Tribolium castaneum: one gene and its partners. The protein of the gene in region 7 interacts with the protein of the main gene of each other region in a biochemical or structural test. Links are inferred from orthologs where the notes say so. Each region holds a gene or a part of one and is shown on either strand. Other genes may lie near its edges.

Region 1 (3,879 bases), about 2.7 Mb from region 7:
TTCATTCCCCAAAATTGATTCTTTAGCCGATGATAAGGTCGAGTCGGTTTTAAAAAAGGAGGGGTTTGGATACAGGGCTAAGTACATAAATCAATCAGCGAAAATAATAATGCAGGAAGGTGGCGAAAAATGGCTTGACGATTTGAAAAAACTGCCCTATGAGGAATCAAAGAGTAAATTAATGACTTTAACTGGGATTGGCCCTAAGGTGGCGGACTGCATTTGCTTGATGTCTTTGGGGCACTTGGGGACAATACCTATCGACACGCATGTTTACCAAATTGCGAGAAAATTTTATATGCCACATTTACCGAAACGTAAAAAAGTCACAGCGACGATTTATAAAGACATTGGGGACCACTTTCGGGAGCTGTACGGCCCTCTGGCAGGTTGGGCACACACTGTAAGTAAGTGGTCAATAGTTATGTGAAAAAATGCAGTCAAATTTTTAGGTCCTTTTTTGCGCCGACTTGAAAAAATTCCAAACCGACGAAAACTAATCTCATTTTAAATTTTATTCAATAAACTCAGTTTAATACATTTAGTTAATCAGTTTGCATGTGATCATCATCCTTATCTTCTTTTTTCTCGCCTTTCTTCTCCTTATCCTCTTCCTTTGACGAGTTTCCTTCAGTTTTTTCCAAGGCTTTCATAAAGTCTTGCATGTTTCCTTGCGCCGCCGCTGCCACCGCCTCCGGATTAACCGCCAATTGAGACACAACCGGCCCCAACTGTCCCGACTCTAAAGCACTAGAAAACTGGGAAACGGCCTAGAAAAAATAATTAGAACAAAATTTTATTAATTTTTGTTTATCACTTGTTGGAACTGGGGCGAATTCAATGTTGCTCGCAAGGCGTCTTGGGGGTCACCCTCAACGGCCGGCAAATGATTTTGCAGGGCCTGAATAGCCCCCGGATTGTTTAAAATCCCGGACAGTCCTTCAGCAGTCAAAGCAGTTGATAAATCAACTAAAAATATTTTATTACACTTTTTCTTCAAAATTGTTTTGATTACCAGATTGTTGAGACGAAGCTTGAATTGGGGAAATCCCCTGCAGGAAATTCTGCAAGTCTGATAACTGAATTTTATGCCCGCATGGTGAGTCCGACGACCGGTTGGCTCGGGGGGCGCCCGGGGCTGTCGTGGGGGCTGTAGTTGTCTGCGGAGTGGCCGGCGATTGGCTGACGGCTGTGGTGGTGGTGTTGGTGGTTGGGGTGCTTGGGACTGTGGTACGGTGAGTTATAGCGGGGGTAGTGTTAGTACGAGCACTTCCGCTGTTGGGGCCCCTAAGTGTCATAGTTTTTACTATGCGTTTGAGCGTAATTATAAATACGTTACCTGATGGTCCCCAAGAGACTCGACAGCCCCCCCATCTGGCCCACGCCGCCTCCAAATAATTGCATGAGTTGGGATTGCGACATGTTATTAAACAGAGACTGCAAGTCCTGATCCGGGGACTGCGACGACTGGACCGCGCTTGAGGGGTTGTTCAACAACTCGTTTATGCGCTTGCAGTTGTCTTCGTCTTTATCAGTGCGGGGCTCCTATGGTTTAATTGGTGATTTAATTAATTAAGAAAAGGGGCGCCCTACTTGCAACCAGAAGAAAAATTTGCGATTGGATGATTTAAATTTCAACAAATAGACTCTTCCAGTGGTGCACTGGGGCACTTTAATGTATTCGCAATCATCAGGGAAGATTATGAGGTCGTCCTCAACAATACCGCTGGTGCGATCTTGCCAACAGAAGTGCATCAAAGAGTCCTCGCTTTGGTACACGTAGAGAAGACCCTTGCGTTTGTCAGGGTACACCATGCGACCTAACAAAAATTTGATTATGGGAGCTTACTGAAGAGTTTTGATAATTACCTTTCAAACTCATTTTGCCCGCCCGTACTTCAACCAAGTGTTTGTTACCGCCAGTTGAACCGGGGCCCGTAGCGGCACTGCCGAATAATGCACCTCCAGCAGGCATTTTTGCAATGTTTTGTTCTAGACAGTAAAGTGAGGTTAGGGAATGATGACAAGACAAAATGTCTTTGTGCTTTAAATTAATACAAATTTTTGAAAATAAAATAGAATAAGCAGATGCAAATGATATATAAATTATCACCAAATTTTATATCAATTCGTAATTAACGTAATATAGCAACAAATTTAAAATATCAGTATTTTCTAGTAAAAAATTAAATATATTTCTAACTTAATGTTTAAAAGATATACTTACGTTTTGTAATTAAAATGTACTTGAAATAATGTTATTTCACAAAGTTGGGAGTTGTGTATTAGTGTCCCTAATGATTTGTTTCACTTGGAAAAATCCACAAAGGAGGTGGTAACCTTAGGGATAGTTTGGATGGGTTGGAACTTGTGACACTTCCATAAGGCGCCAACATTTTGAAGGTTTGAAACTGATCGGGGAAAAACCTACAGCCACAACGTCCCTGATTAAAATAACACCTATAATTTTTCGCGTAGCAAACAAAAATTACAGGTAGATGGAGCATTAAATCTTAATAGTAAGACAACCAAAATGCAAAACTTTTATCGTAAACCATTCGTAAAAAAAATAAATTAACTTTTGCCAATTTGCACTCTGCCTCATTTATTTCAAAAGGCTGCAAATACGGTTACAGATACAAAAAATGTTAGGAAGGAAGTTGTAGAGAATTAAATTTTCTACAAAAAAGTCCGCGAGACCATATGCCTGTGTCCAACTATTTAGGCCCCAAAATTTGCTTCATTTTGTCGGTGGTCAAGTATTGGAAAGTTTATTTATACCTAAACTGTTGAAGATAGAATTATGGTGTTGTGGACTTTTTTATAGAAAATTTAATTTTTTTATAGTTTCTTACACTTTTTTTGTTTCTGTAATCGTATTCGCAGCAAACGTAAAATTATAAGGTGGAACGCAAATTGATAATTCTAAGCGAAAATCCTTTTTGCACCGTCACATATTTATTAGATATATATCTTCTACGGTTTAGGTATAAATTAACTTTCCGTAACTTGACCACTGGTAAAATAAGACGAATTCGTTGCTTCAGCGTCTTTGGGGCCTAAACCATTGACGATAGACATATGATCTCGCGGACTGTTAAAGGAAATTTAGTTCTCTACAAATTTCTTTTGAACATTTTTCTTACTTCTTCAACTGTATTCGCATCGTCTTGAAAAATACGGGACCAACAGCACATTTTCAATAATTTTTGTCTTATGTTTATTATGTAAATTTTAGTCGTCAGTCTTTCTCAGTCAGTGCAAGGCTCAACATTTCTGCATTTTTTTCAAGTAATTAGTGCAATGGTCAAATTTAAATTAATTTAAAATGATTTGGCGCCGAGACGTTGTAATGCTCGATACGCCGTCAGTTTTACATTTTTACTCTACCGTACTATTTTTCTGGGTTCAGAAAATCAGGCGGTTTTGTATCTCATTTTGTCCTCTAAGTTATAGTCCTCTGTAGTCTTAATACGGGAAATAGTAATAAAAACAACTATTAAATAAGTAGAATATATTAATAATTTACATTTAGTTATTAAATTAACAACATTATGAAAGTTAGTTAATAAAATATTCTAACATGGATATTGTAATATTTAACAAAATAAAATACATTCATTGACTTGGGTAGTTTGCGATTTGCATTTCTCAAATATCAATTAAAAAAAAGGTTAAACTAGACAGTTCAAAATATTGTGAGACTATCAGTGATTATTTCATTGTTATTAATCTATGCCTATTAGCATCACTGTGAAAATTATCACAAAAATAGTAATTGCGCGATTATTCCGACTTATCACTAGTAATAACAAAGAAATAAATATTAATAAAATTAAACCGACATAAACAGGAACTAGCTACTCGTCTAATATATTT
Region 2 (3,874 bases), on a different chromosome or scaffold from region 7:
TAATCTGCGACCCATGTGCCACCAAGAGGGGCTGTCCCTTGGTGATGGAAGCCAAGCCACCCTCCAAGGAGGCTTGAAACGCACTGGTCATAATACTATCATGTGGTCCCGCTTTGTACAATACTTTCAAATGAATGTAAAAAACAGCCAAGTAGATTAAAAATGAAACTGAAGCGGCAACGGCCGTTTGGGCCACAAACCGCACCAAAAGGGCCCTATCTGTGAGGGTGGAGGAAGACAACATTTTCCAAAAGTCGCGTCCGAGGATGGCAACCCCCAAACAAAACGAGTAAAACCCGACGTACTTCACGGACAAAGCGCACGTCAGTGAAGTAAACCCCAACCCCAGCCACAAAAACCAAAAAATGCAATAGGGGTTGGAGTAGTATTGGCGAAATTTCAAAATGCAAAAAATGCCAAATAAGGCGAAAAAGAGTAGCATTGACTCCATCAAAATGAAACGGCTTTGGGTCAACAAAGCGTTATCTAGTAAAAGTAATACTGCCGCCAGCAACGAAGTCCATTGCGTCAACCCCAGCTCAAGCATCAAGTGATAAGAGGTGGGTATTATCAAACTGCCGAAAAACGCAGGGACGAAACGTAGCGCAAATAACGGAATTGTGTCGGGGTATGGGCTCCCGATTTTATCGAATTTGAATTTTCCGTCGAAACCGGCCAAGTAGGCCACCGCTGCGATCAACTGCTTGCCCAGTGGGGGGTGAGAATCAAAGAAAAACGTGTTTTTCATGTAGAGAGAGACGTACTTTCCATAATGTAACTCATCAAATCTACAATAAAATTATTAGGCAAGTGCTAAAAAATGGGTTGATTCGCTTACACAATATTTTTCGGTTCTTCCAGCCTGTACATTCGAGTCAGTAAACCACACAAAAATAACCCCACTGAGATTAAATCAATTTCGAAGTTGATTCGCAGGAACTTCGCCCTTTTAACCGAGTATGAGACCTCTTTTTCGTCATTGTTTAAGTAGGAAGGAGTGTTGCCGTTTCGTTTCTTACATTTTTCGACTTGAATTTCCTCTTTTTGTGCGCTTTTTTTCTCATTGTCGCTGTATTGATCAATCAACTTATCTTTATGTTTCCTGTTGCGTAAATTTTCCATTTATTTCAAAGAAGCAGCAAAGGCACACACATTTTTGGAAAATATGTCATTAAGGCAGGTGAAACATCCACGTAGCACTTCGAGGTCATTAGCACCGATCTTCTGAGATTCTCTTAGGTTAGGTCTGTTTCATGTTTATTTTTATAATTCCAAATCAAGGGCCTAATAATTGTTTGCAAGGGATCATTTTGAGTTGACCTTATTTATGTTTTAAGGACGATTATCTTGACTTTAACCAAAAAGGTGGGAAAATGAGAAAGCGTATTTAAGGTAGTTGGTGCCCAAATTCACTTTCTTAAGATTTCTTTTAAATTTTAACCGATTATTGTTTAAAGAATTCCGCATCGATGGTGCAAAAATGAAAAAGATTGATCGTCTAGTTTCGGAGATATTGAATTTTAAAAATTGAATTTTTGAATCTTTTTTTTCTGAAGATTGGTAGTACATGGTCATGGTCTGTGGTAGTGGTGGTAGTACATTTAAAACCAACGCGCGTATTTTCGAATGTTCGTTTGTAGGTTAAGTTTCCCCCGCTTTGTTCGCAAAAAACCCAACGATGGACAAAGATAACGAACCCGTTGGTAACTGCCCTATTTGCGACAAGCCCTTTTCGTTAAGCTTGATCGAAAGTCACGTTAACAAATGTATCTTCCTGAACTCGGCGGACGCTGAAGACATGCCGAAACGCAAACGGTCCCCCTCGCCAATTCTCCCCCAGAACACTACCAAACCAAAGACAACCCAAAAAATGGATTTAGTTTCACCATCCAAGAAACCAAAAACCTCGTCTTCAACAAGCACCACCAAAGAGAACCCCCTGACCTTTACAACCCCCTTAGCCAAGCAGCTCCAACCCAAGTGCCTGGACGACTTCATGGGCCAAAGCCACGTCCTGGGCGAAAACACCGTGCTGAGGACCCTACTGGAGAAAGGAGACATTCCCAACATGGTCCTGTGGGGGCCCCCCGGCTGCGGCAAAACGTCCCTCTCGGGGGTGATCCAAGGCATATGTAAGAGCAACCCCACGAAATTAAAATTCGTGTCGTTATGTGCGGCCACTGCGGGCGTTAAAGACGTGCAAAATATAGTCTCGGCAGCGAAGCTGCAGCAGAAATTTGGGTGCCGCACTGTTTTATTCATGGATGAGATACACAGGTTTAATAAAAAGCAGCAGGACATTTTCCTGTTGCATGTGGAGAAAGGGGACATTATTTTAGTGGGGGCCACCACTGAAAACCCGTCGTTTACTGTAAATTCGGCACTTTTGAGCCGCTGTCGTGTGATTGTCTTGCAAAAGTTGGACCCCGATTGCTTGTATCAAATTTTGGAACGGGGGGCTCGGAATTTCAACGTGGAAGTTGTAGATAAGGGGGCAAGGAGTAAAGGATTTGCGGTGCAAGCAGACGCGCTTAAGTGGTTGGCTGATATAAGCGATGGGGACGCCAGGATTGCCCTGGGGAACCTACAACTAGTTCTCCAATACAATGAGGATAAAAATAAAGTTGTTACGATCGAGGATATTAAGGAAAAAATCAAGAAATCTCATTTGTTGTATGATCGCAAAGGGGAAGAACACTATAATGTTATTTCAGCAATGCACAAGTCAATCAGGGGCTCAGACCCCAATGCGGCCCTTTACTGGACCACGAGAATGATAGTCAGTGGTGAAGACCCTCTCTACATTGCTCGCAGAATGGTCAGGGCTGCTAGTGAAGATATTGGTAATTTTTTTGTATCATGTTTATTTTAATTTCTGGTTCAGGTAATGCAGACCCTAGAGCCCTACAACTGGCAGTCAGTACAATGCAAGGGTGTCAATTGTTAGGGATGCCCGAATGTGACGTACTTTTGGCCCAGTGTGCAATTTATTTAGCCAGAGCCCCTAAGTCAAGAGAGGCCGATTCGGCTTTAGCTAGAGCAAAACAGCTCATTAAAAGTTGTGAAGGGTTGCAACCCTCTGTTCCTATGCATTTGAGAAACGCTCCAACAAGATTAATGAAAGATTTGGGTCTGCTCTTAGTACTAAAAGCGTAACCAATTTTTTAAACTACTGTTTTAGGGTATGGAAAACTTGAGGGTGATGAACGGTATTACATGCCTCCAGAACTCAAAAACGTGGATTTTTTCAAGTAACTTCGCCACCAAATGTTTTTTACGTTCTTTATTTATCAAATCTGTAATATACAGACTCCTACAATCACTGTTATTGTAACAGGAATATAATAACTAAAATGGATTGTTCAAAATATAAATATTTTTACATTAACTAAAACCCTTACAAGGTCGCCTAAAGTAATCCAGATTTAAAAAAAAATACATGAGTTGTTCCTTGATAAAACAATCATTTAAAAAAATGCACCACTTCCATCAACGTTTTCAATTTATTCACAATAAATTAATAGTTAAAACTTCACTATTACTTACAACTTAACATTATTACACACGGAACAGCACAGGGGTGCATTGAATGAATGTAAAATTTCACTAAATTAAAAGACGTAATCTGGACCTGCCATATCGATAGCCCAACGAAACTTGTCTCTTTGCGTCTTATTATAGATTTTTTCGATTGGGACACCGTACTTTTTACACCAAGCGACACTGATACGAGGGTCCAAATAATTCAGTTTGGAAGTACCCAAAGCAATGGTTTTATTTTCATCTCGGTCAGTTTCCTGGATTTCCAATTTCGTCAACTGTTCCTTCAAGCGCTGCAACATTTTCTTCTTTTTATCATAGACGGTTTTCTCTT
Region 3 (3,990 bases), on a different chromosome or scaffold from region 7:
ATCATAGTCGTTCTTAATTTGTGTTTTAAGAGCAAGCTAAACTAAAATATTTCTAGCGAAGGTCGTTAAATCGATCAAGTATTTTCTGTTACCAAACGAAACTGTCTATCTTTGCTTTTGTACGCATCTCACGCACAAACAAAATATTATTGTAGCGCTTTAGTAGATTCCCGTTGAATACATTTTTATCTCAAAAAAGGTAATATTAAAAGAATTAAAAATTAAATTTACCTACTTATGTGCTACCTACTAGTAATTTCTATTGACACTTAATTAAAAGAAATGATTTAAGACAGGTACAAAGATAGAAAAAAAAGCAGGTAAAAAAGGAGAATTGAAAAGTTATGGTAATCCAATTGTCTTTGTTTATAATTTATTATTAATATTGTAATCTAATAAAAAATCTAAACTATTATTCTTGTGTGTCGTTTTGATTATGGAGCGATTCTTACTTATTTTTACATAATTTTCTCTTCCTTATACAGCGTTCAAAATGATGTTGCCAAACTTTACGGTGTTATAGAGGTCACTAAGATAGAAATGTTTTGCTGATAAACGCTGATAAATGAGCCGTTTTGCCTCTAGAGTCATGTCTTTGTCCAGAAATGATTACATTCAAAAATTCCCATAAAACTTACGTTTCATAACGTTATTTCAATAAATTGTCAAAATACCACTGCCTTATTTCATGTCAGTTTGCTCTACTTGCGTTAATGTTTGATAAAAAAGTATTTTAAACATGTATACATTTGTCAGAAAATAACAACAAACATCTATTTTTATTTTTTTTGAATATTGATTAATTTTTCCGGCGCATCCACCATTTTTTTAATTTGCAGTTTGTTAATAGTAAATTGTTTTACACTTGTTTTTCTTATATTTTCTGTACACTTGTACATTTTTGACTAAAGTTATTCAAAGTAGTATTTGGAAATGTTTAATTTGATAATTTCTCCCGGCGCATCCACCATTTTTAAAACGCTGTCTTGTTCACTTTAAGACACCAACTGGTGTCAAAAGGCGGTGGTGTGTGCATGTGTTGTTGTCATTAAGTCATTGTTAATTCCATCTTTTAATGTTTACTTCCAAGAATTTGAACGAGTAAAAAGCCTGATGATGTTTATTACATTAACTTTTAACTAAACTTTTTAAGGAACTTGGTCTTATCGTCGTGAATTTTTTTAAAATCAATCAGTCAAGGACGTTTAAAAAATTTTTATTATAACAATTTTTACACAATACTAGAGATTTCATCATTTCAATTTGAAACAGTTGTAAAATTTGGATTTTTTCAAGTCACAAGACATTCTACTTTGAAGCAGATTTTTTTTAAATAATTATTTCTTTTCAGTCCTATAACTCGCTTACGGGTAGTCCTATAACAAAAGTGCATAGGACCAATTTTTGTAGGAAATTTCATCAGCTTTAATTTTTGTAAGAAGGTGAAAACCGACAATGATTGTTTCCGTGGTATAAGAAATAAAACGAAAAATGACACACTTAACCCTCTCCCCCATCTCGAGCTCAGCCTCCATCCTCTGGGATTTTTAATATCTGTCTATCTAAAGAACGCGTTTAAAAAATTCCAACTCACTAGGAATTTTTGCCACCAACCGCCCAATTCTTGTCTGGTCTAACTTGACTGGGCTAGATACCTGATTTATAGCTGGAACACATTTTCTAAAAATGTTATAGAGACCCTCAGTAGTAACCCAAATTTCAAATTTAGATTTACATTCAATAAATTTGGTAACTGTAGAAAATTTTAACTTTATGATAGAAAAAGAAATTTAAAAAAGTATCTGAAAATATTTTGGCGTATATTGTTTTTAATTGTCTTCAGCGACTTTTAGTTTTTAAAATTAACATTGATTTCCCTGTACCAGAATTTCGGTTTAGCTCGCTCTTATGGTGTTAATGAATCTGCTGCTTCTAGTTAGGTGAGCGGACATTACGATTGCAAACATTTTAAAAATTTTCGCAATGCTCCTTAGTAAGCGTAAATATTTTTAACTTTAAATATTTTGACTATAAACATTTTAAAGGAAAATTAAATTTTGTCCAGTACTATTTTTAGTGTGGAGTGTTTTTGACTAATTTCAATTAAATAATTAAAAAACGTACGTTGGCGCACAATTCGGGGCTATTCTCACAAAGGCCGGTTATCTGCTTTGGCTGCAGCACATCATTCCAGTTTTGGGGGTCTGAGTGCACCGTGAAAGCCCCCGATTTGCAAAAGTGGCACCGAACTCGCAATTTCCCATTTTTGAGGGCTTTACACGTGGGGCAATAGACAAAAAAGTGGACTTTGCGTTGCTCGGTGGGCCCTTCCTCGTAATCATCGTTTGAAAAACTCAAATCTGATAAGGTCTCACACAGAGGTTTGCCCTCGTCACTTTCCTCAATTACGGCATTGTTTAAAGTGGGAGGGTTGGGCTTTTTGGTGATTTTGATAGCGTGGAGGGTGCTTTGTTGGCCCAAATCACATTCCTAGAATGACTAACTGGTTACGACTAGTGGTATTGAGGGCAAAACTCACAGAAATACTAATGTTGTCTCCCAGCTCTTTTCCAGCGAAAATAATCTTTACCTCGCCTGGTTTCAGTCCCAATTGGGGCGCAACGAACTCTTTCACCTCTTTTATGTCCCAGGTGGGGTCCAAATCGACCGAAAGCGTATTCCCTGTGTTGGTTTTTATGTAAATACTCAAATTATTGCTCAGCGTTTTTCTACTAAATGACAGAAATTGTAACATCTTATGCAACAAATCTTTAATTACGTTGATAATAAAACTCATCATCTGTGGTAACCGCGGCCGGGCTTATTTTTAGAAAAAAACATTTTTTGTGAGGAAATTTCATAACCTCATTCTTGGGGATTGTCGATCCGTTACGTTGGTTGTTGTGTGAAAAATTCCAGAAACGTCAAAACAAACAAGATGGGGCAAAGTGACGACCCATACGCACAAGTTTGCAAGGGAAAATTGCAATTAAAAGGTGATAACAGCATTAAAAAGAAAAAGAAGAAGAAAGATAAGAAGTTGTTAGAGCAAGTGAGCAAAATTGTCGAAAGTGAGACACCGGAATCAAAGCCTGCGAGGCAAAAAACAAAAGCCGAACTTGCGTTCTTAAAACAGCAAGAAAAAATGGTAAATAAATCACATTTCGTGTTAAATTTGTTGCCTGATTGTTACAATTTGCAGCAAACTCAACGCATCTTGGAAAAAGCGTCAATGACACACAAAGAAAGAGTAGAAAAATTCAACCAACACTTGGACGGGCTCACGGAACACTTTGACATACCTAAGGTCTCTTGGACTAAGTAAAATATTTATTTAAATAAACTTCTTATTTACACTAGTGTGATCAAGGATTTTCTTCAAATTCCTTGCAAAACTCTCATTTGAGAATTTCTCCTGCAACACTTTGCGCCCCTTGAGCCCCATTGCCTTGTTATCCGACTTGAATATCCTGTACATGAATTGCGCTAAACTGTCGGGGGTCGGTTCGCATAAATAGCCCGTGTTTCCGTGGTCGACTGTCTCTCGGGGGCCCCCACTGTTGCACGCAATGACGGGCTTAGCCACCGTCATTGCCTCGAGGGGGACAATGCCGAAGTGCTCCTTCACGGGCGTGTAAACGAGGCAGTCACACGCCATCAGAAGTTCCGTCTTGACGTCATCGGGGGGCGACTTGAGGAAAATAATCTTGTCTTGGAGCCCCTTCTCAGCGACGAGTTTCTCCAAGTCGGTGAAATAACTGGCGTTTATGGACGATTGGGGGTCGTAGCCCCCGGCCATAACCAAGAAAATGCCTTTACGTTCATTTTCCGAGGTGATTCTTTGCAAAATTTCCATCGCATTGATGGCCAAGTCCAGTTTCTTGGCGGGATGGAAGCGGTTGATGGAGAGGAAGACACAGGCGGCGTTTTGGGGTATTTCTGGGATTATTTGGTGGATTGGTCTGGGGTTTTTGGTGTTTTTGACGGCTT
Region 4 (4,105 bases), about 2.0 Mb from region 7:
AAAATAAAAGAAGCTGTAAAAATTGGAGATCTTTGGGACGCAAAAGTTTCAACATCTGCAGATACTGAACCTCTTCACGCTGTAATAATTTTACACTAAGGACTACACCGACCTTGACGATGTAATTAGTGTTCTTGACTTTTTTGAAACGTCAGGCATAAAGCCTCAAGGTGAAGTCATCAGATACAAAACTGATAAGCAAACAGGCGCTGGCATTTACTCACGTTTCAACCAAAAGGCTTCAATTTACGACTCGAAAACAATCAGGCAATTGAAAAACAACAAGCGGATTACGGATTATTTTAAACCAATATAAATCTGTTGAAGATTATTTTTTATTGATGACTTATTATAAAACTGAATTTTTTATAATAATAAAATACAGATAATTTTAAAAATTGTGTATTTTTAACATCCTACCACCACGCGAAAATATACAATCTGGAATTTAGGAATGACTGGGTGGAAGAAAAAACCAATTTTTATTAAAACATATTTAATGAAAAAAATCTACAAAACCATCAGTTATTCCGGATAAAATAATTAAGCAACGTGTTGGGCTTGGTTTTCTTCACTTGACTGCTGCAAAAATTCATCTCACTGGCCCTCCTCCTCTTGTAATCCTCCCACAGCTCCTTTTGCACCTCCTTCGGCAGCTCCTTGAACACCTCCTTGTCGGCATCAGGGGGGCACGACACCGAATCCAAGCACAAATCCGCAACCTTCAACTTTGAGGGACTCTCGCAGTCTTCGTAATAGTCCTCAAAACAGCGCTTCTTCGACACGAGATTTGTCAACTTTAGTTTTTTCGGTGAGGGTGTGGGTGATTCCCCCTCCGTTGGTGCCAACTTCGAGGTTGAAGGGACGGGACTTTCGGCGTCTTCGACACCGTTCTGGTTCTCTATACTCAGCACTGACTGGACTTCAAGGTCCTTGCGCAGGAACGAAGCGAGCGTGTTTTTCGGGGGCTCCTGGAACTTCGTGAAAGAGAGGCCAAGTAATGTGATGTGGTAGGGTTTTTTGACGTCGATTATTCGGTTGAAAAGGTGCATGATCGTGGTCATGATTTTGGCTTCTTTGTTTGGTTGGTTTGAGGAGAAAATCGAGGGATTGACGTTGCATTGGCGCGTCTCTCGGTGGCTCATCTTGTTGTCTTTGTTGAACTTCCGGACTGTTAGTTTTATGGTTTTGGGGACACGCCCATCCTCTTCCACCAGAAGCAAGAGACGGTTTAACAACTGTTCTAATTTTATTTTCACTTCGGTTTCTACAGAAATTGACCTACAACTGTCTTCTAAACCAATGCTTTGGGGCTTCCCCGTCGGCTTGACCCCACTTTTATCGATACCCAAACTTAACTCATGAACTAACTTAGCTTTATCTTGCCCTAAAACGGTTTCAAGTCTCTTGAGATCAACATTTTGTAGCTCCTCAATTGTTTCAACCCCTATGCATTTTAATTGTTCAAACAACGCTCTGCCAATTCCCGGGATATCGTTCGGTGCGTTTAGGCTAAGAATCAATTCTAACGCACTATTTGGGAAAACAACAGTTTGTTGGTTTGGTTTGTGGCGCGCTCCTGCAATTTTTGCTAAAAGTTTGTTATGGGCGATTCCTGCACAGGACGTGAGGTTGAGTTCCGATTTAATAACGTCGCGGATTTCCTGAGCCACTGTTGTGGCAATGATCAGGCGCTCCGTGCAGCCACACTCACACTTATCACTTGTGTCTCCAAACACATTTCCCACAAGCTTGAGATCACTTTTTTGGTTCAATTTCTCGTTTATTAGCGTCGTCACGTCCAGATAATTCTCATCAAGACCTAGGCGTTCCACCAGAGGGGTGTACTTTTGCAACAGATTGGTTACTTTGTAGGAGGTCTGGCGATAGTCGTGTAAATCCTCGCCGTTGACTAGCACGAGGCTAGGGCACAGTTTTTTCGCCTCGGGGATTAACATGCACTTTTTTATGCCAAATTCACGGGCTGTGTAATTGCTAGTGACGACAATGTTTTTCTGCTGTATTCCTAGCGGGACCGTTCGGAGGCTGGGGTTTTTGTTCATTTCCACTTGCGCGTAAAAACAGTCCAAATCGATGTGAATTATAGTACGGGAATGGTCCATCTCAAAAGACATTGTTTTTAAATACTGATAAAAGAACTCTTGCAACTTTAGTGAGGTTATGTTTATTTCTACTGATTTGGCATTTGAGATGACTTGGCCAATCACAATGCACCAATTAGGCGGCTTATTCAAAAATTACAAGGCTACCAATCCCAAACTTAGCAAATAAAAACTTCTGAACAATTTCAACAATTAAGAAAAGTTTTATTTCACAACAGTCATCTCCATCGTAGTTTTTACCAATGTGATAGTATAAATTATAGGCAGGATAAAACTCGTTATCCTCGTACTTGACGATCACAACTCCGCCAGGCTTTTGGCACGGGTCGAACCCAAGCGGAGGCAAGTGCATATTTTCACCACCATCACAAACATTAGCAACTAACACATTGGCCATAATCATCACATTATGGTAAATATCGTCGGTAGAACACGAGGCATATTTTGCGTTTGGGAAGCTCACACCTTGGCCATACCTGTGGCCCTTATTGGTACCAAATAAGCGAAAATCGAAGTTATAACGGCAAATAGAGTCAACATTGACTCGTTAGTAATTAAATTCTCAATTTGCTGGTACTCATAATCTTTCGGGTGCAAATTTTGGCATCACACAATCTTTGACCCCAGCTTATCTACTTTGAGATTGGGGTTTGTAGCGGGCCTTTTGGGCTTGGGGGCCCAAATTTACGCAAATTTACCTTTGAAAATGGGCATTGGACCTGTTGTTCGTTGTTTCACAATCAAAAAACAGGGACACAGACACAGGGGTTATTGTTGCAGACGCATATAAAATTGCAATGCTGCCAACCCAATCAGTAAAAGATCACAGTTAATTTCAATTTTTTTAAAGAAATTGGCTTAATTTTCACTCAGAAAGTAAGCTCCCTTCCGGTATTTAGCAAATGATGTTTGAAAACGGGTACTAGGACCAGGGGCAACGGGTATTTTATTACTTTATCACACTTCAATGTTGGTCGCCCTGGTCATGAACTTCTTGATGACTAATACTTAATAGCGGTTAAATTAAATATCATAGAAAACAACAAATTATAATTAAATGTACCATAAACTGGACTATAACGATTAAAAATAAAACAGGCCTTCATCCAAAAATTTTAATAGGAATTAAACGTGGACATAAAATCAAAAGTGTATACAAAAAGCAACAAAGACAAGCAAAAACTACTTACAATTTTCGATAAATGTTACTGAGCCTATAACTAAATTTATAAAAGCAACGTAAGTGTCACATTTTCAAAGTAAATAATTTTATTCTTATCAAACTACTTCACAGCATTATTTCGTTTATCACAATAAACAAATTGCAATTGAAACTGGAATGCTTGCAATAATACTGCTGCGTATTTTGGAACATAAATAAGTTTCAACATTAAAACTATTGCTTTGGTTATATTACTAGAACGAAGTTAACAAACATCAGAAAAAACTTAAAAATGCCTGGTTTTAGCACCATCATAACGATCACCATAGTGATCATTTCTGTGATAACGATAGTCGTCATAACGATAGTTGTCATAGCGATGGTTGTCGTAGCGATAGTTACCATAACCAGGGCCATAACGATCCCGGTAATAGTTGTAATGAGTGTTATAACGTCTTCTCTCCACATGGTAACGATCATAACGATTTATGTAGTTACAATCATAACGATAATGATTGTTGTTTCTGTGTTTTTCACGCAAATGGTAATGGAGAATGTAATATGGGTAGAATTCATTATCCTCATACTTTACGATAACGCTCGCTCTTTGGTCCTTCTGGCTTGTGTCATAGCCTGGAGGCGGCAGCGACATGTCTTGGTCCCCTTGGCAGACGTTGCCTATCAGCACTTTGGCAACGATCATAATTTTGTGGTAACTGTGGGGGTCCGAGTAGTTGCTTGCGTATTTGGCGCTTGGGGAGAAATTCACCCCTTTTCCAAATTTGTGGCCCCTGTTACTCCCAAAGAGCCTCCAGTCGAA
Region 5 (2,863 bases), about 3.7 Mb from region 7:
CCCCATGGGAAGGATGTCCGCAGACGACGCTATGGCGCACGCTTATTTCAGTGATTTAAATCCAGCAATTAAAAATGACCGATGCTAAATTTTTTTATTAATTTTGAAACGTCCATTCTCTAGTCATAACCAATTTTTTTATTATGTTTATTTGGAGATTATAATTCGGTGTAAACATAGCCATCTCACTTTCAATAAACGTACTGAAACTGAGGTGACTATTTTTCATTACCATTGGATTTTTTCGTGATGTAAACCATTTTTATATTGAAATAATTGTAGGAATAAACAACTCATTTGAATTACATTATTTACGAACCCTTGCGTATTTTGCGGGAAAAATTGGAGAGGTGCAGATAAAATGCGTTTTTTTAATAATTTATTACAGCAATACTAAGCACAATAACAAAGATTAGGAGATTGACAGGACACGTAAGTACGACGAAATAAGTAACTGATATACTTTGGCCCTTAGATATCTGGCACACAATATGTTTGCATGGCAATTACGTATTTCCTATATCGAAATATAACTAGACAGTTCTATGTTTAATAAAGAGAACATGCACTTTGCACTGCATAACAATATGAAATACATGTTCGACCTACGAGGATTCCCTCGGGTCTGAGCATTTTAATTATACACAAAAATTCAGGCCGGACGTTTTAACACTGTAATAAAATCGCGTGTAAGTAAACAAAACAAACATTAAAACATAGCAAAATAAAGCACGAATCTAAAACCTAACACAAAAACGTGAAAGTATCACACGGAAATACCAAGAGTCAGTCTTTTATCACAATGTACACTACAAACTTAATTAAAATTCAAGTGCAATCTGACCAAAGCCTTTAAAAATATTTCATCCAGGGCGAGGTTCACCAGATCCGATTGGTGAGACTAGCTCTAACGATGTAACACCGCTAAGTGGTGACTAAGTTTTATTAAACTTTGATTAAGGAACATTAGTTCGTTTAAAAAGACAGTTATTTACTTCATCTAAAAATAAAGAACATAAACATTCTCAAATAAAACAACAAATTGCAAATTTATCACTCGGAAAATGACTAATCGACGTCAATTCAATTTCAGACTAATAAATATCTTAAACCTACTTAATAATTTATAACATGAATTTCATACAAACTTACAAACGCCATAACAACTTAGATATTCCTAAACTGCCATTACGAAATGATTTGTCTTTAATAAATCGGTATTTAAAACACGTTCCCGTTTTATCATTTTTAGTTTAGATCCACATCCCTTGAGCCTTGCGTTCGAAAATAAAACAAATACAATTCTGCAAGATAATTCAAATTTTTACATAATGTTATCTAGACATTTATTATTAATATCTAAATATAGCGCAGTGTTTTAACTGCAGATATTTTCAATGTACACTTTAACAATTTGTTACATCTGGGACAACTTTGTCAGACGACTTCTCCCCTAAAAAATATCTTCATAAATACTTCAACTTTGTAGCTCCACTTTTGCAGCAGCGGCGGCTTTTTGTTTCTCGATGTAGCGTTTTCTGGCGCTCTGAATCAAATTCTCTTTGCGTCTGTGGAGAATCTTTTCGCGCTCCGACGAAGACTTCGAAAATCTGCTCCCCAAACTGCTCGTATCTTCACTGAAAAAGCACAATCTTCAATATTTCTATATTGGCTATGCAACCAGTAAAACACTTCTGTCAAGATTAATAATTTTGTCTCCATGCATCAAGAAGGCTATGATTTTGATATTTTTTGCGTCACAGGTGTTTCTACTTGATTTTTTACTTAAGTGTATGCCGTGTGGCTATAACGTGTAGTTACTTGTAAGAAAACTGTTAAAAACAGATTTGCAAGAATGAATAAAAAAGCGGAAAATTCTGATGGTGTAAGTAACAAATTAAGTATTGTATTCCTAGTCGAATAAGGGTTATATGGCCCCCAGTAAAATAATTAGACTCTAATAATGAGGGGCACTGGAACTGTTTGAAAACAGAGAAAACCTTAATAATAAATGCAAATTTTGAGTTGGTGGCACGGGTCTGGTAATAAACCCATTGTGAGGCGGTTAACTTCTGTACAAAAAACCCTCTATAAAACCTTAAAACAATTGGAATGCTATAAGCTTGTATCACAAAAGTTGTCAAATCTGTATTTTATTTCGTTTTAACTCTCTTCAATTAAGCAACCAAGCAAGTAAACAACAATCATTTGTCTTGATCTTTCAAAAATTTTTATATAATGTAATAAGTATAGCAAATTACTGCAAACTTGCATTAAGATTTTTATTATTAGAGGCAGTTGCCTTTTAAGGAGCATTTCTTGTTACAGTCCCCGTACACGATGTTTGAGGCAATATCTGCTCAAGACACAGAATCAGTGAAATATTTCCTTGAAGATTTAAACATAAGAAGTAAACGCAAAGGCGAAACAGTATTAACGCACGCTGTTGTTCATGGAAATTTGGAAATCATCAAACTTCTGTTGTCCAATGGTGCTGATCTTAACGCCCTTTGCTGTCATGGCGACACACCTTTGATTAAATGTATCACCAAAGGAAACTTAAAACACGCCAAATACTTGGTAGAAAATGGAGCAAACACTTGTCAAGCGGACAGAAACGGCTACACTCCCTTAGCTCACGCTGTATACAACGAAAACACGGAAATGATTGAACTCTTATTAAAAAGTCACGCTCGGTTCACCCTCCATTCAGGCCTGTTTGAAGCTATAGACAACTGTAACTTTAAAATGACAAAATTCATGCTTGAAAAAGGCGCTGATGTTAATCTTTGCGGTGAAAACGGAGAATTTCCTCTTACGCACGCTGTTAAGAAAAAACAGTCCGAAATTGTCAAGCTTTTGA
Region 6 (4,226 bases), on a different chromosome or scaffold from region 7:
AACAATTGCACAACTCCGCCTAGTCCCTGCATCAAAATAAGGCGTGAAATTGCAGGAACTCTACTTACGTAATGTTTAATTTTATCGTGAGTAGAGTTCTTGCAGTCAGTTTTATTTTTTTAAGAATCATCAATTGTTCGTAATGACGTAACTATTAAATTAAGAACACAAATAAAACGAATGTGGGGGGAAATGAAACATGCCTAGATTTTAGGAATAATTGTCATGGTTTTCAGTTCACTCGTTAATTTGCATAAAACCGGTCTTTGTAATTACGTGGTAAGTTGTAGAAATTCATTTGTTTTGATTTAAGTCTGAACAGGAGAGCATTAATTGTAATAATTGAAAATAAAATGTGGTCGATGGTTGGTTGTTTTATTTACCGTTTCTTAGGGAGCGACTCGGCAAGGAAATATGAAAAATTTATTTACTGCTCAAGATTTCACACACAACGAGCTGCATATTTTTATACAGCAGCTACTGGCTTACAAAATGATGTATATTTTAAAAAATATTCCAACATAAATTTGTATAGTTTTGTAGATACTTACACCTAGTTACTTAAGAACATCCCAGCTATTGTTCCAGCGTTATTTAAGCAATTTTAATATCGTACGATGGTAGAGTAGATAAGGTTTGTGCAGCATTTGACCTAATTACGATTTTGAAACGATGAGTGTGGCCCTTGGACCCAAACCTGAAACCCATTCTTGTATTTTTTGGAAATTTTATTGGTTATAACGGAGGACTAAAATATTAGGAGGCGTTTTCGTCGCAAAAGCGAATACAAAAATTAGAGCACTAAAAACAACAAAAATTTTGCCAGTTTGTGATCTCTGGTACAAAAGGAGCAAAATACAAGAACAAAGTCGTAGATATTAAATTACAGTGAAAAGAGGCGCTAAATTCATGAAGAATAAAGGCGGCTTTTAAGTCAAAAACCGGCTAAATGCTCGAAAAATGAAAAAAAAAAAATTGGTCAAATATTCGACCCTAAATGGTTGACTTTTTTATCTTTGGGAAAACGAAGTATGTTGTCATTTGCGACCCAATTTAGTGAACTTTTTTATCTCAAAAGCCCCTAAACACTAGAAAAACGATATATTTTCTATTCATTACAGTAATTTTTCGGGCGGTAAGTTTAAAAACGTGTTTAAAGCCCCGACTAATGCAAAAAATACACAATTATCGAGGTAATTTGATTATTTCTACGCTTATTTTTAACGAAGTTTTACAAAATATATACAAATTCACAGTAAACTATTGCAAAACATTTTGAGGCGCCAAGCATTTTGGTGATTTTTAGGTCTTGTTTAGCAAAATTCGCTAGCCTGTTTTAAACAAAAATTCGCAAATAATTCCGTGACTGTATACAAGATCTGTCACAAACTTGTTTAAACCCTCAAAAAATTAGGTAGTTTTTTGGTTTATTTTCGACAAAATCATTGTTCTGGTGAATGTTTTGAATTTAAAATAATTCGGAGCCGAAAGTACTCGAAATTTCTTAGTCCTTCGGAGTTTTGCAATTACCTAGACTTTCTAAAGGAACATCGTAATCTTCAGGCCCGAAAACCTTCTTTGGATAATTCGTCATAAGGCTAAAGGGCCCTTCCCCGTCCTTTCGGTTCATTTCCACATACAGCCTCACAGCGCTCAGGGGCTCCTTGGCCCCGAACTTCTGCACAAGCGACGACCCATTCGTGAGCCTGATCTGCAGCATAACCTCCGAGTAACCGGCCGCCGGCTTGGGGGCCGCCGGTTGGGGCGCCGGCGTAGCAGCTTGTGGGGCTTCCTCCAGCGGTTGCCCCGAAAATTTCGCTTTCCGAGCCAACTTGTCCTGTTCGATTTGTTCTTTCACACGCTGTCTGGCCAGCCTTTCCTCCTCCTTCTCCCGCTTTCGCTGCTCCACAAGCTTCTTCATCTCGATCTCGTCGTGTTTTTTCTTGGCCTCCAGCAGCTCCTTTCCCGACTTGATCCGACTGCGTTCCTTCTCCAGGGCCTCCTGTTTCTCGCGCGCTTCGCGCTCCATGCGCCTCTGTTTGAGCTTGGCTTCGATTTTCGCCAGTTGTTCCTTCTTTTCTTCCTCAGTGAGCGGTTTCTTCTCCTCCGTCGACTCCGAGAAGTGCTCGTGGCCCGACTTTGTGGCGTGAAACTCCACCTCGTCCTGCGACTTGAACAGCTTGCCGCAGTCGTCACATTTGAAGGACCTGACGACTTGGCCCTCGGGACTGGGCTGCGCTTCGGGGGCGGAGGCGTCGGCGGCTTGCGGGGGCTCCGGCATGTCCTCCAGCTCTTCCTCGTGGGACAGCAGCCAGTCCATGGCAACCTGGATGTCTTCGGTCCCGGTTTTGGAAACTGCTAACTCACTGCAAGCATTTTAATGGTAATTTGAACCGCAATGACGTGTTGGCTTACGCTCGTGCTTTGCTGAAGCCCATCTCGACCAAGGTGTCCACAGTACCCGACATTTTTTAATAAGGGGCTTTGCACTACGAATTTGACTAAACAACTGGTCGAAAAACCGACTTTTTCGCGTAAAACGACACCATGCAATGCGTATTTCAACGATACTGATGTGACAACACCGGCAAAAATGCAATCAGCTGATAAACGCACAAACAACACTAAACTTGTATTTCGGACGGTTTCGCAACGTGTCCTCAACGTTTTTGATCAAAAACAATGAGTTTACGCGATATTTTCCTAAAATGTGGTTAATTTTGGGGACGCGTTCGGATCTAGGAAAATTTACGTCTAGAACTTGGCATCAACAGAAAAGCACATACCTAGAAACATTCACTGGCAGAATCGCACAAACCGAGAAACATTCATTCACAGAATCATTCAAAACAGAACATTATTTATTTAGGCACTGGATGCTGCCTATGACAGTATTTATCTAGAAAATTCATTACCAGAAACGTGCATCAATTCGGGAATAAAATTATCTAGACGCCCTCAGGTGACGACATGTCGTTCTTGCCGAAAACAGTAACGAAATTTTCGTAATTTCTTATTTAATGAATATTTAGCAATTTTGCGTGTATTTACATTAGAGCGAGTCAATCTAAAAGTATGTGGTGGTAAATACTAGCGTTGCTTTTGGTTGTGAGTTTTCGTAATTATCAAATGTTTTTGTTTGTAATGTAAAAGTTGATATAAAATTAAAGAAATTTTACTTTTGACAACAAAGTGTTATTAAAACAATTGCCTAATCAATAATTGTTGAAGTGTGTGAAATACTTGAGTGAATCCACAAAACTGCAATTAAGATTAACAACTGCTCATACATTTAAGTATATTGTTCCAAAAGGTAGGCTTTTCAATGTGCTTTTAATAATTTTACAATAAAGTACCTAATTGAACAAACAGTCATTCGTTATTCGTGTTTTTCTCGTCATCTCTAATTTGTCAACATTCGTTCTTTGCACCAAAGTCATTCAACCAACCAACCTTCTGGCAACTTGGACTTGCAATTATTAAAATTTACATTTTTATGAATAACACTGAAGTTGTCGTTTTTGATTCAAGGTAGATTGATCTGCCCCTACATATTCAATAAGAATTAATAACGCTCTAAAAGAGCAGAAAGACACACAAAATAGTCCACTAAAGTGAAAACTTAACATTTCAGAAGTGAGCACAACAATCCTAACCCTACTTTTTCTAGAGCTAAATTTTCTGGAGACTTTTGTCCCTATTTGGCAGTAGCATTGAAATTCTTAATGCAAGGTAGAAATTCCTACCCTAAATATCCTCTGCAAGGGCAGAAAATTTCACGTCGCCAGTTTCTGTTTAAATAAAAACATGCGTCTTTATTTTTCCATTAACTACGATTATTTTATAATTTCAGACCACTGCCATTAAAAATCTGAATATTTAGGAAACCATTTCGATAAATCTAGGGACTTTACATTTCTACCTTTAACAGCGCCCTCTGTTACGTTTTTGATTTGGGTGTTAATGATTTTCTAGACAAATACATTTCGTGTAATGACTTTTTCTAGATCAATACTGTTCTATTTTGCATAATTCTGTGTATGAATGTTTTTAAATTTGACGGATTTTGCCACTGAATATTTCTGGTGATGAACTGTTTTAAGCTTGTGTGACGTCACGTCCGTGACGTGTCACGAGGTTAGGTGTGCGGCGCAGGCGGCGAGAGCGCTTCAGTCGACAGCGAGCAGCGGCACGGTCCAGTTGGGGAGCGGGAGCAGGAGGCGAGG
Region 7 (4,070 bases):
TTAAACGAATTTAGCTATAATAGGGCGAAGAATACAACGAATCGTGTAAATAATTTTAGGTGATCACCAATGTCAACATGTTTACCAAAAGCGGTTATTACCGTTTTGGAACTATAAAGTTTATCACGTCTTATCCTGTATTTTTGTAGTTGGACTACGTTACGTTTAGCAACTGTTAAAGCCGAATTGTATATTTTAGGTAACATGAAATGTATTTGTTGACTGCTTAGTTTTATAATGCGGACGAAAGATTTATGTTGAAGTAATAGAATTACGCTTTGTTAAAGTATCATAATTTTGAATTGTTGATATAGGAAGTATGAAATTATGGCGTATAATCAATCTGATGCAATATTTTTGTTGTTGCTGTAATTTCGGTAGCATGTTCTTGTAGTTTTAATTTTATGGACGCTGTGTAGTGTAAAATGGCCCATTATTTTTGTAATTAATTTTCATATTTTAGGGGTTTGTTTGCCACAATAATTGCCTCTTTATGTGATATTTGTTTCCATTTTATAGACACAAATGTGCCTTATCTATTACAATATGAAGAATAAATAAGTTGTAATGAATTACTGTACTTTTCTTTGTCCCAAATGACCCTTTTACATAATTTATTATTGTCGTCCGTATTTACATGATAAACAAGACTCTAGAACAACAACGATAAGGATAATTCTTTGTAAACAAATAAATTCCTTTCAAAATTGAACAGACGAATTTGGCATTTCATGCAGGTATTAATGGGTGGTTTATTTGAAACGTTTGAAAAGCATAAATTGGAAAATAAATTAAAATTTGAAAAATAAAAAAGGGCGTAATTCCAAAACAAAGAAAACAGCTGATCGATAAAGCTGACGACGTAGATAAAAATCAGCTGACATGTCACCAACAACTACTGGCCAAAGTCCCTAGAATCTTGTTCAATTAAAAGCAATTTTCTTAATACCTGAAACATTGTTTTGACCACGATTAACCGAATTGGCATTAAACTGATAGCAACTAAAGTTTATGTATAAATTTTTGATTAAAGAGGACGTTTTTTGGATAATTAGTCGAAAATTCTAGAAAGTGTACTTTGGGTTCGAGATTAAAAAGGAGTGGGGGAAGCCGTCCGTATAAAAGCGGTTCCACAGCTGCATTCGCCATATTGTCTGAGCAAAAGTGGTGAAATACAAAAGCGATTTAATTAAAATTGTGAATTTTCCTAGCCGTAAAGGTATGTATTTTAATTTCATCATGAATTATTCGATTGCAAGAAGCGCAGAAAGTCGCAATTTTGTGAAATTTTTCGCATGACGCAATAACATTTGTTTGAAAAAACATCGCCCTAGTGACGTGTTTTTTTGTTTAAATTTTAACAAAATTAATTTTGTAAATTTGTCGATCTGTTCAAAACCAAACCACATAGTGAGTAATGTGTTTTTTCGGTTTATTCAGTGCGTAATTCTTTGTTCAACGAAATCCAATATGGCGGCTTGGAAATTTGCTTTGTCACAAAAGTAATTTTTTGTGTCGTTGCAGATGCAGATCTTCGTGAAGACTTTGACTGGTAAAACCATCACCTTGGAGGTCGAGCCCTCCGATACCATCGAAAACGTCAAAGCTAAGATCCAGGACAAGGAAGGTATCCCCCCAGACCAGCAACGTTTGATCTTCGCTGGCAAACAACTCGAAGACGGACGCACTTTGTCTGACTACAACATCCAGAAGGAATCGACGCTCCACTTGGTTTTGAGATTGAGGGGCGGTATGCAAATCTTCGTTAAGACACTCACTGGCAAGACCATCACTCTGGAAGTTGAGCCCTCTGATACGATCGAGAACGTCAAAGCCAAGATCCAGGACAAGGAGGGCATCCCTCCAGATCAACAGCGTTTGATTTTCGCTGGTAAACAACTCGAAGACGGACGCACCTTGTCCGATTACAACATCCAGAAGGAATCCACCCTTCACTTGGTTTTGCGTCTGAGGGGAGGCATGCAGATCTTCGTCAAGACCTTGACTGGGAAAACCATTACTTTGGAAGTCGAACCTTCCGACACGATTGAAAACGTCAAGGCTAAGATTCAGGATAAGGAAGGGATCCCACCAGACCAACAAAGATTGATCTTTGCCGGGAAACAACTAGAAGATGGGCGTACCCTCTCAGATTACAACATCCAGAAGGAATCCACCCTTCACTTGGTATTGCGTTTGAGAGGTGGCATGCAAATTTTCGTCAAAACCCTGACTGGCAAGACCATCACCTTGGAGGTCGAACCTTCTGATACCATTGAGAATGTTAAGGCCAAGATCCAAGACAAGGAAGGTATCCCACCAGACCAACAAAGATTGATCTTCGCTGGAAAACAACTTGAAGACGGCCGTACTCTTTCCGACTACAATATCCAAAAAGAATCCACCCTCCACTTGGTGTTGCGTCTCCGAGGTGGCATGCAAATTTTCGTGAAGACTTTGACTGGAAAAACGATCACTCTTGAAGTCGAACCTTCGGACACAATCGAAAACGTGAAGGCGAAAATTCAGGACAAAGAGGGGATTCCCCCAGATCAGCAAAGATTGATTTTCGCCGGCAAACAGTTGGAGGATGGTCGCACACTCTCCGACTACAACATCCAGAAAGAGTCGACCCTCCACTTGGTGTTGCGTCTCCGTGGTGGCATGCAAATCTTCGTAAAGACTTTGACTGGGAAGACGATCACTTTGGAAGTAGAACCATCGGACACTATCGAAAACGTTAAGGCGAAAATTCAGGACAAAGAGGGGATTCCCCCAGATCAGCAGAGGTTGATCTTCGCCGGCAAACAGCTCGAAGATGGCCGAACTCTCTCCGACTACAACATTCAAAAAGAATCAACACTCCACTTAGTATTGCGGCTCCGAGGTGGCATGCAAATTTTCGTTAAAACTCTGACTGGCAAAACCATCACCCTGGAAGTCGAACCTTCTGATACAATTGAGAACGTCAAGGCTAAGATTCAAGACAAAGAGGGTATCCCACCAGACCAACAAAGATTGATCTTTGCTGGAAAACAACTAGAAGACGGCCGTACTCTTTCCGATTACAATATCCAGAAGGAATCCACTCTCCACTTGGTGTTGCGTCTCCGAGGTGGCATGCAAATTTTCGTGAAGACCTTGACGGGAAAGACGATCACTTTGGAAGTAGAACCCTCAGACACAATTGAGAATGTTAAAGCTAAAATCCAGGATAAAGAAGGCATTCCTCCAGATCAGCAGAGGTTGATCTTTGCTGGCAAACAACTCGAAGATGGGCGCACCCTGTCGGACTATAATATTCAAAAAGAATCAACCCTACATTTAGTATTGCGTCTGCGAGGAGGTATGCAAATTTTCGTGAAGACGTTGACTGGGAAAACAATTACGTTGGAAGTTGAGCCATCGGACACGATTGAAAATGTGAAGGCCAAAATTCAAGATAAGGAAGGTATTCCCCCAGACCAGCAAAGATTGATCTTTGCGGGAAAACAGTTGGAAGATGGTCGCACACTTTCGGACTACAATATCCAAAAGGAATCCACTCTTCATCTAGTCTTACGTCTTCGCGGAGGACAGTAATTTTCTGGAATTTCTATGCTTAATATTTTTTTTACTTTTTGTTACAAGTTTCCTGAAATTACGAATAGAGAATAAAGATTGATGGCTTAATTCTTGTGTTTTATTTTAGTACTCCATGTGAATTAATTCAAAAAAATGCTTATCAAAATTTTAAAACATTTGGCTTTACGGGGTTGGTTTGTCTTTGGATTTGGAGCTTAGACGAGATTGTAGGCCCGCGAGAATGTACGCTCACGAGAATTCTCCAAAAATCGCCAACACACAAATTGAAATTAAAAAAAGATTTGAGGTATATTTCCAACAAGGCAACAAATTCTTAAAAAAATAAGTTATTCATATGACTGCACATATTTTGGAGTAATTCGTTAAGCTAAATACAGTGTTAAAAATAAAGACTTCACTTTCATTGATATTCGGAGAAACCGGACTTGGCAGCCGATCGAATTTGACGTTAGGCATAAAAATAAAAAACTTAAAGACAAAAAAAA

Evidence for each region.
Region 1: the proteins of Ubi-p63E (region 7) and proteasomal ubiquitin receptor ADRM1 form a complex in vitro, tested with the Homo sapiens proteins (10 studies listed by BioGRID and IntAct, with this or other methods). The link is inferred for Tribolium castaneum from reciprocal best matches to the Homo sapiens genes UBC and ADRM1.
Region 2: the proteins of Ubi-p63E (region 7) and ATPase WRNIP1 form a complex in vitro, tested with the Homo sapiens proteins (6 studies listed by BioGRID). The link is inferred for Tribolium castaneum from reciprocal best matches to the Homo sapiens genes UBC and WRNIP1.
Region 3: the proteins of Ubi-p63E (region 7) and park form a complex in vitro, tested with the Homo sapiens proteins (16 studies listed by BioGRID, with this or other methods). The link is inferred for Tribolium castaneum from reciprocal best matches to the Homo sapiens genes UBC and PRKN.
Region 4: the proteins of Ubi-p63E (region 7) and PolI form a complex in vitro, tested with the Homo sapiens proteins (6 studies listed by BioGRID and IntAct, with this or other methods). The link is inferred for Tribolium castaneum from reciprocal best matches to the Homo sapiens genes UBC and POLI.
Region 5: the proteins of Ubi-p63E (region 7) and E3 ubiquitin-protein ligase AMFR form a complex in vitro, tested with the Homo sapiens proteins (10 studies listed by BioGRID, with this or other methods). The link is inferred for Tribolium castaneum from reciprocal best matches to the Homo sapiens genes UBC and AMFR.
Region 6: the proteins of Ubi-p63E (region 7) and UBX domain-containing protein 1 form a complex in vitro, tested with the Homo sapiens proteins (9 studies listed by BioGRID, with this or other methods). The link is inferred for Tribolium castaneum from reciprocal best matches to the Homo sapiens genes UBC and UBXN1.

Annotation. Positions count from the first base shown.
Region 1 is NC_087396.1:16,648,286-16,652,164, forward strand, and holds proteasomal ubiquitin receptor ADRM1, read right to left. Parts: upstream 2,386-3,879; 5' UTR 2,228-2,385; intron 1,993-2,227; 5' UTR 1,976-1,992; coding exon 1,870-1,975; intron 1,821-1,869; coding exon 1,594-1,820; intron 1,546-1,593; coding exon 1,340-1,545; intron 1,288-1,339; coding exon 1,016-1,287; intron 970-1,015; coding exon 818-969; intron 771-817; coding exon 546-770; 3' UTR 512-545; downstream 1-511. Other genes in the region: Ogg1 (N-glycosylase/DNA lyase), read left to right, coding at 1-407, 453-511. UniProt on the Homo sapiens protein: Component of the 26S proteasome, a multiprotein complex involved in the ATP-dependent degradation of ubiquitinated proteins.
Region 2 is NC_087398.1:8,311,265-8,315,138, reverse strand, and holds ATPase WRNIP1, read left to right. Parts: upstream 1-1,470; 5' UTR 1,471-1,583; intron 1,584-1,595; exon of another isoform or gene 1,596-1,640; 5' UTR 1,641-1,678; coding exon 1,679-2,843; intron 2,844-2,884; coding exon 2,885-3,130; intron 3,131-3,181; coding exon 3,182-3,255; 3' UTR 3,256-3,374; downstream 3,375-3,874. Other genes in the region: rt (protein O-mannosyltransferase 1), read right to left, coding at 1-788, 839-1,122; Top1 (DNA topoisomerase I, mitochondrial), read right to left, coding at 3,612-3,874. UniProt on the Homo sapiens protein: Functions as a modulator of initiation or reinitiation events during DNA polymerase delta-mediated DNA synthesis. In the presence of ATP, stimulation of DNA polymerase delta-mediated DNA synthesis is decreased.
Region 3 is NC_087398.1:11,672,335-11,676,324, forward strand, and holds the start of park (E3 ubiquitin-protein ligase parkin), read right to left. Parts: upstream 2,801-3,990; coding exon 2,540-2,800; intron 2,491-2,539; coding exon 2,125-2,490; intron 1-2,124. Other genes in the region: protein FAM32A, read left to right, coding at 2,939-3,148, 3,203-3,325; alpha-1,3/1,6-mannosyltransferase ALG2, read right to left, coding at 3,335-3,990. UniProt on the Homo sapiens protein: Functions within a multiprotein E3 ubiquitin ligase complex, catalyzing the covalent attachment of ubiquitin moieties onto substrate proteins. Substrates include SYT11 and VDAC1.
Region 4 is NC_087396.1:11,985,413-11,989,517, forward strand, and holds PolI (DNA polymerase iota), read right to left. Parts: upstream 2,801-4,105; 5' UTR 2,136-2,800; coding exon 522-2,135; 3' UTR 480-521; downstream 1-479. Other genes in the region: protein mono-ADP-ribosyltransferase PARP11, read right to left, coding at 3,572-4,105. UniProt on the Homo sapiens protein: Error-prone DNA polymerase specifically involved in DNA repair. Plays an important role in translesion synthesis, where the normal high-fidelity DNA polymerases cannot proceed and DNA synthesis stalls. Favors Hoogsteen base-pairing in the active site.
Region 5 is NC_087396.1:17,624,924-17,627,786, reverse strand, and holds the end of E3 ubiquitin-protein ligase AMFR, read right to left. Parts: intron 1,638-2,863; coding exon 1,478-1,637; 3' UTR 501-1,477; downstream 1-500. Other genes in the region: Cdk5 (cyclin-dependent-like kinase 5), read left to right, coding at 1-88. UniProt on the Homo sapiens protein: E3 ubiquitin-protein ligase that mediates the polyubiquitination of lysine and cysteine residues on target proteins, such as CD3D, CYP3A4, CFTR, INSIG1, SOAT2/ACAT2 and APOB for proteasomal degradation.
Region 6 is NC_087395.1:21,641,260-21,645,485, reverse strand, and holds UBX domain-containing protein 1, read right to left. Parts: upstream 2,801-4,226; 5' UTR 2,469-2,800; coding exon 2,416-2,468; intron 2,367-2,415; coding exon 1,531-2,366; intron 698-1,530; coding exon 657-697; 3' UTR 410-656; downstream 1-409.
Region 7 is NC_087396.1:13,943,037-13,947,106, forward strand, and holds Ubi-p63E (polyubiquitin), read left to right. Parts: upstream 1-1,270; 5' UTR 1,271-1,410; intron 1,411-1,524; coding exon 1,525-3,582; 3' UTR 3,583-3,672; downstream 3,673-4,070.